2 linked regions of the Caenorhabditis elegans genome follow. The protein of the gene in region 1 purifies or fractionates together with the protein of each later gene. This does not show direct contact. Each region holds a gene or a part of one and is shown in the gene's direction. Other genes may lie near its edges.

What was found.
Region 2: the proteins of K09F6.7 (region 1) and T16G1.4 fractionate together in Caenorhabditis elegans (co-fractionation; one large-scale study listed by BioGRID). This does not show direct contact.

The regions. Positions count from the first base shown.
Region 1 is NC_003280.10:2,290,095-2,294,018, reverse strand, and holds K09F6.7 (RING-type domain-containing protein), read left to right. Parts: upstream 1-1,891; coding exon 1,892-1,967; intron 1,968-2,010; coding exon 2,011-2,186; intron 2,187-2,240; coding exon 2,241-2,309; intron 2,310-2,427; coding exon 2,428-2,670; intron 2,671-2,719; coding exon 2,720-2,972; intron 2,973-3,019; coding exon 3,020-3,102; downstream 3,103-3,924. Other genes in the region: K09F6.13 (Nuclear receptor domain-containing protein), read right to left, coding at 3,776-3,918.
Region 2 is NC_003283.11:12,939,538-12,943,734, reverse strand, and holds T16G1.4 (CHK kinase-like domain-containing protein), read left to right. Parts: upstream 1-1,887; 5' UTR 1,888-1,950; coding exon 1,951-2,103; intron 2,104-2,146; coding exon 2,147-2,545; intron 2,546-2,591; coding exon 2,592-2,841; intron 2,842-2,917; coding exon 2,918-3,021; intron 3,022-3,066; coding exon 3,067-3,228; intron 3,229-3,275; coding exon 3,276-3,350; intron 3,351-3,391; coding exon 3,392-3,523; 3' UTR 3,524-3,594; downstream 3,595-4,197. Other genes in the region: T16G1.3 (CHK kinase-like domain-containing protein), read left to right, coding at 1-298, 350-599, 644-747, 905-1,066, 1,117-1,191, 1,233-1,370.

The DNA.
Region 1 (3,924 bases):
CGATTTTATACAAAATATGGGTACGTCTCCCCTAATATAAAGCCTCCTCAAACTTCAATCAATCAAAACTCAGCTTTAACTGATTCATCGGGTGCATCTGTTTTTGGTCAAACCGAACTCAAAAATCAAGAAGACTCCCATTGACCTACTGAAATTTTCACGAACCCTCTAACAGGTTCGAGGCGAAGCCGAGAACCTACGCCCGGTTAGGGGACTCGCCCTACACCCCTACAACTGGCGGGCCCGCAGGGCCCGCTAGTCATGGAAAACAATATCCAAATGTGGCTGCACTGAAACTTGGTATTGAGGATGCTTGGAGAGAAATACCAGCCAGCAAAATAAAGAATCTGGTCAACTCAATGTCGAATAGGTTTTTTGAGGTTATCGTTAAGAAGGGAGGTCCCACGACGTATTGATCCTTCATCCAGTTAACAAATTATGATGTTTTAATTGATTTAATTCCACTTCTGGACAAAGAAGGACAAATAGTGCAATCTGGTACAAGTTTCATACAACCTAAAACTCCGTCGATTTGTAAAAAATCTTTCAAACATGTATCCATGAGTGTCTCAAAACATCTTGGTCAGTTTTGGACTCGATCCCACCGAGAATGGGCCTCTGACGCAAAATGGAGCGTTTCAGGACAATTGCGGGATCCTAAGAATCTCCACGTATAATATTTCTGCCGAGAATTGATCACTATGATATCTGAATCAAATTGACTCCGTTTTGTTATCTTGCTGTGTCTAGAAATGTCAAAAAATGTGGTTTTGTTGGAAAAAATATCAAAATTCAGAAGGGGCGCTATAGAAGTTGCACGGCCGTTTTTACGATTTTTTGACCTAGTCACATCAAATTTTGTTATTTTTTCTTGAAAATTTTGGACAAGGGGTTTTTTGACATTTGAAATCGAATGGCATTGTCAGTTTTTCAAGAAAAAAATCAGAATGGCGTGAAACGCGATAAAATAGGGGGCGCTATAGAAGTTGCACGCACTGTATAGATATGAACGATGGTGTTTTGTATGGAGCTGGTATTGAACTGGAAATTCCGGAATGGTGCTATAGTTCAGATATTGGAAGTTAGTGTGTCTTTTGAGTGTACATTATTTTTTATTCATTTCGTGAAACATTTTCAGAGCATTCGCCATCTGACTCAAAGGATCTGATTGCAAACCTACCAACTATCAAATTTGAGCATGGAAATTCAACATTTGCAAATAATCATCGAAAAATTAGTTTAGGTTGAAACTGTGCGATAAGAATTCCTGTCGTTTTAGTTTCATCTAAAACGAGAGTTTGCTCGCTACATTGTTATCTAACAGTGAGAAATAACTTTATCGATTTCAACTTCAATCGTTTTTTTTTCTATTTTTTCGAGCGCTTTTTGGTGAAATCAAAACTTTCAAGCAGTTTTGGTTGATCTTTTTTCCAAACATTCAAAATCAAAGTCCAAAATCAAATAATTTATGTAAATGAAGAGAAAACAGAGAGAAGGTCACATTTCTGGCAAGCTCCATAAAGTCAAGCTGTTGACAGAGTTTTATGTCAGCCCGCTCGTCCTTAGCAAGAATGTCAAAAAACCAACAATTCCTAATACTTCTCATTTTTAATTAAAGCCACATAATTTTTTGAATTGAACTAGGGCGTGATAAAGTGTAGATCAAAATTTTTCGCAAAATTATATGAATGATCCCGTGAGTTCAGGAGGTTTGCTATTCATCTCAATAGATTTTGAGCAATTTCTTAGAGTATTACTTGAAAGGTGCATTGAAACAGGACTGCCTCATAAATATGACATTTATATCTAAGAATGAGGAAGAAATTGCATATTTAATGGTTTTTCAGTGGTAACTGTCACCATTCTTAACCACACCAATTCAAAACTGAAAATGTCAATGCCAAAATGTGAAATCTGTAATGACGACTATTCAAGCGAAGATGGAGATCACTCTCCGCGAAATCTAAGTGAGTGATTTTTTGCGTGGTCTTTGTAAAGTTAAAATTTCAGAGTGTTCACACACGTTATGTGAAGGTTGCATCAAAAAAATGTTAGGTAATAGCAAAATTGTATGCCCATTTTGTCGCGAGCCAACCGATATGCCGGGAAACAAGATGGAAAGTTTGCACAAGAACTTTGCATTGATTCAAGCGATTCAACTATTCGCAAAAACCACTAAGATAACAGTAAATAAAGATAATAAGTTTTTTCATTGATTCAAGCACATTGGACTTTTTCAGGAAGTAGAGGAGCCAATGTTGGAAAAGTGCAAACATCACCCTGATTACTTGGTGGAAACCGTATGCGTGGTAGGTCACTTTATTAAATTTTTTTTTTTCCACTCACTTGTGGAAATTAAATTTTAAATTGCTTTTCAAAGAACTTTCTCATTGATCCTTACGAGCTTAAAGTGTTAGTTATTTGAAGGAAGAGGATTGTTCCGAATCGGGAAAATACATGTGCCGCAAATGTGTATCGACTCTATCTCATTTGCATCATACGAAAAAATCGTTGATTGCGGAAATGGAAAAATCACGCGAATTGCTTCAGGGGAGGATAAATCGCTTGAATAAGACAATAGGCGAGATTGATCAAGATGTTCGAAAGCTCAGGATGTCACAAATTGCGTTTCGCGAAGGTGGAAATAATTACCAACAAAAAGCAAATGAGGTTAGGTGTTTATGAAAACGCGATTGAAATGTGTATTACATTTTTTCAGATAACTACTTTTTACTCCAGAATTCGTGAAATGGTTAATGAACGTGAAAAGGAGGCACTCGTCAAATTAAAGGAAGTGGCAAAGTCAATTTTGGATGAAAATGATAGTGCATTACCTCCGCTGTTAAGATCTCACCAAAAGTTAACTGAATATGTTCGTAAAGCAACTGAGGCAAAGAAAAGGAACAACGCAATAGCATGTATAACAGCAGCAGAGGATTTGCTAAACAAAACAAAAGATTGTTGTGATGAAGGTAGCTATTATTGCATTTGAAGCTAAGAATAAATTACTAGATTTCAGAATATTATACAATCGAATCACAGGATATTAATGTATGCATCAAACCAATTGATATTCCAGTGGCAACAATAACCCGAAAGTAGTGATAGAGTGGCTTTTTCACCACCCCGAGGATTTTTGACCGCAGACGGTCACGAATAGTGTGTGAATCGAGAGATTCAGAGAAAGACGAGAGAGTGAGAGACTTGGTTATAGTAAGAAACTATCGATTTTTTGGGGTGTTCTTGGTCCTCTCAACCAGGGGACAGTTTTTTAACCAGGATTTTTGTGATTTGATTGTCGATTTTTGAAATAGCGTGCGTTTTCGAGAGATTTAGAGAAAGTCAGACAGAGCTTTTTTCGAAACTATTTTCGAAATTGGGTTTCTGTAATAATTCAAATGATTATTATTAATTTCATAACATTATTTCATAACTTTTTATTTCATAATTTTTGTTTTTCCCCGGACCGGATTCGAACCCAGGACACGATTTACATGAACAGATGGCATCTTTTCCCAAAGCAACAAGAGACGATTTGCATGAATGCAAGTGTTACCTAGATTGATGAATCATAGGAAGGAGGCCCCCCACGCCCCGCCCCTGGGGGTTTCAAGAGTTTAAGTTGAACATTTGAACGTTACTTCAATTAATGTTACCTGTGCTATTTGAAGTTTTCGTTTTCGAAAACTTCAAATAGCAGGTTTCTTCAAACAAGACTTTTTTTTGTAAATATTTATTCAGTTGATTAAATTAATAAGACAACAACAATCAAATTTTATAATTTCCAATATTTTTTACGGCATTTCTTACAAACGTCAATTTTCAAAGTTGATCCATCATATTGTGCACCGTCCTGACAAGTCTTACAAAATATTATTGCGACGAGTGGTTCCATTTTCCGGAAAGCAAACTCAGGATCTGAAA
Region 2 (4,197 bases), on another chromosome or scaffold:
CACGTCTTGTATGCATGTTCTCAATGTTTTGGATCAAATGAATCTTCAAGATAAAAGTGAATCTGCTTTATGGTCAATTTTTGAATATGAAGCACAAGGTCTGCATAACCGAGAAGTGAATTTATACGAAATTATTGGAAAATGGAATATGGATGATGTACTTATGAGCCCTAAAGTTTTCTTTTCGAAGAAATTTGATTCTGAAAATTTGACGAAAGGATTTTTTGCAATGGAATATGTCGATAATGCAATCACAAGACATCTGTATATAAACTTAAAATCATACGAACTTCATTCGGTAACATATATATGCACATTTATTTTACAATTCGTTAGTGGACTTTTTTAGATATTAAAATCTCTTGCCGTTTTCCAAGCTGAAAGTCTTAAGTTGAACAAAAGAGAGCAAGAAAGTGTTACTGGATATGACTTGGAAAAGATTGTTGGAAAAATGTTTAGCCAGAATGGGCTCAACAGTATTTTTGAACAAGTCCGCCAGATTAACAAGGAAGAACTATCTGAAGCTGCAGATAAAATTGCAGTGTTTGGCGTTGAGCTGGTTAATTTTGATTTGGTGAAGAACTTGAACAATTATTTAGGTCAGCAGAAAATATGTTGATCATGGCGAATAAAAATGTTTTAGGAATCAAGAAAAATGTTTTGGTGCATGGTGATTTGTGGTCAGCTAATATAATGTGGAAAGAGAACAAAGACGAATTCCGTGTCGACAAAATTATTGATTATCAGGTATCTACAATAAATAACTCAATAATAGGTAGCTAGGCGTCGATTCTAACAAAAACTACAATTTTCTCATTCCCAAAACTCTTGTTCAACTGCGAATATTTCAAAACTACTCTGAACCTCAAAATCAAAAACATTGTAACCGTTGAACATCTTCCAGTCGATTCATTTGGGAAATCCAGCCGAAGATCTTGTGCGCCTGTTCATTTCTACACTCTCCGGTTCCGAGAGACAAAAATATTGGGAAAAGCTTCTAGAGCAATTTTACGAATATTTCATAGAAGCTCTTGAAGACAAAAATGTTCCATATACTCTTGAGCAGGTATATTTTAACTGATATTGAAACATTACATTTGATGTTATTTTTTTCAGCTAAAAGAATCATATCGTTTGTACTTTGTGACCGGAAGTCTTCTCATGTTACCGATGTTTGGTCCCATTGCTGAGGTAATTTCAAATTATTTTAAATAGAAATATTTGGTTTCCAGGTTAAACTCGCTGAAATGTCAGATCCAGATGAAGTTAAAAAATACCGAGAGATTTTGACCGAGAAAACAAAACGTCTTCTAAATGACATGGAACATCGGCACTTGTACACTAGAGAAATCATCAAAAAGTGGAAATAGGACGATTTCAAAAATTAATTCTTTGAATACGCTTGTTTGCAAAGTTTACACGTGATGTGTTATCACCAGTTCGCAGTTTAATAAATCTAGAAATACCGAATGTTGAGCATAAAAAATGTGTACCTTATCTATTGTGCAGGTGTGGTAAGTTCATGTGATACATGGCCTTCTGACATTGAAAAAAAAATTGAGATATTCATTAAGTACAGTTTCATAAATTAAATCTAATTAAAACGACGTTCTTGAGCTTGAACGGTTTGAAAACATAAAAAAAAACCTTTAAAAATTATAAAAAATAGATGTTTATTGAAAGTTAAAATTTTAAAGTCAAATGGTAGTTTATTACTAAAAAAATAATTATACAAAAGCTCAATAAGACTATCGGGGATGTCATTTAATTAAAGAATGCGGTGGTATGCTTACAATTAGGAAATACTTTTTCAACTTGTGACTTGAATTCAGCGTATGAACCGAATGGTATGATAACGTTGATAGCAGAGACCACACTGAACTCATCATTGGTATAAAAAGCAACTGCTTCTTGTCTCTTAAATTTACTTTCTTCCTGCGACTAAGAAGAATGAGTGAATCTAAAACTCTTATCCAAAATGGAGATGGTTTATTTCAAACCCATGTTCAGCTGGAAGATGTTCAAGAATTGATTAGAGATCAAATGAATACTGAAGCAAGACTTGGAGAGAAGACAAAATATACTGTTGTTGGAGATGGAAATGTAAGTTCAAACTATTAAAATATTCACAAGACGTTTATTTCAGGGATTTATGAGTCGTGTGATTTTGGTTGAGCCTGAGTGGACTATCACAGATGAGAATCTCCCGAAGAAATTTATTCTGAAAATCACATCATGTCTCCATGTCGTTGGTCTTCTTGAAAAACTAAAAGAAAGCGAACAGAACGTGATAAATGATGCAAATGAAGCTGATTTGATGGCCCTATTTGAGAATGAATCACGACTTTTTCATAACAGAGAAGTTAATTTGTATAAAATTACGAAGAAATGGAATAAGAATGATGAGTTGTTAAGTCCAAAGATTTATTTTTACAAAAAGTTTGATTCTGAGAACCAAACAAAAGGAATATTGGGCATGGAAGCTGTTGATGATGTAACTGTAAGACATCTCTATTACAATGTAAAACCATTTGAGCTGCACTCTGTAAGTTTTAAATCAGATTATCAAGTAAAACTCAATTTATTTACAGGTATTAAAATCGATTGCCAGACTTCAAGCGGAAAGTCTTCATTTGACTGATCAGGAAAAACAAAGTATTGCTGGATTTGATTTGAAGAAGATGTCAAACACAATATTCAGTGAAGAAGGCATGCAAAATAATTTTAAGCAGACTCGTGAAATCAATCCGGAACGATTAAAAGAAAGCGTCGACAAAGTTGAGATTTATGGAACTGAGCTCGTAGATTTGGATAAAGCTATTAACCTAAACAGTTACATTGGTGAGTTTTCTTTCACAAATTTGGATATATTTTACCTATCAGTGAAAACTATTGAGAGATAAGATCTTTATGTCAGGTATCGAACGTGATGTCTTGGTGCACGGAGATCTGTGGTCAGCGAATATTCTATGGGAAGAGAATGAGGGAAAATTTTTAGTAAGCAAAGTTATAGATTACCAGGTAAGTCCCCAAAAAGTTGTGTTTTTTATCTCTGTAATATTGCAGCTCATTCACATGGGAAACCCAGCTGAAGATTTGGTAAGACTTCTTCTTTGTACACTTTCTGGAGCAGATCGTCAAGCACACTGGGAAAGGCTTTTGGAGCAATTCTACGAGTATTTCTTGGAAGCTCTTCAGGACAACGAGACGCCATATTCACTGGAGCAAGTAAATGTTTTGTAGTTCATGGTATTTGAACAATGTTCTAGTTTTAGTTAAAAGAATCCTACCGTCAATATTTTGTTACTGCTGGTCTCTTTATGTTGCCCATGTTTGGACCGATTGCACAGGTATTGTCTGTAACGTATATGAGAAAGTTAATTGATTTCAGATGAAACTTTCTTATTCATCCGACAACGAACACGCAGAAGAGTATCGTGAAGTTCTCACAGAAAAAGCTGAACGGCTAATGGAAGATTTGGAACGTTGGCACTTGCACAGTAAAAACTTTAAGCAAATCTAAAATAGAAGTGTAAATGAAATTTCTATGTAAATATTATATAAGTTGAGCCAAATAAACCGTTTGTTGTAAATAATATTTACAAGATATACAGATGTATAAAAAATAATAATGGCAGGTAAATTTACAAACCAAAAACGAATAGTTGTATTAATAAGTTCCAATAAGGCGCAATAAATATTCTAGCTATTAACACTCCGGCAGTATTATTTTAAATATCTATTTTTCTTTAGACATAGCCTAAATCAAATAATTCGCCTCAAATATCCAAATATCAATTAGTTACACAAAAGATAGAAAACTTATTTGACCAAATAGCGTTGTTTTTAGAAATAGAAAAAAAATAATAATGTTTTGTAAATCCACATCTAACTCAGATAAAATTTAGTTAACTTCCCCGAAAACTTTATTGCACATTATAGGGGTCCAATATTCAATAAATTTAGAAAAACAACTATTTTAATAAACTGTACCAAAGTTCATAGCAATGCATTGAAAATCAAGGGAAAAATATAAAATAACGGAAAAAAGTAAACTCTAGTATTGCACAACTTTTTGTAATTTCACATAATGTGGTTTGTGTTGACGATCAATCGTGCGTAATCTATGAAATTGCGTCACTAAGTAAGTAAAGAAAAACAATGGAACACTCCCATTTTCACTTGATTGAGGTGATT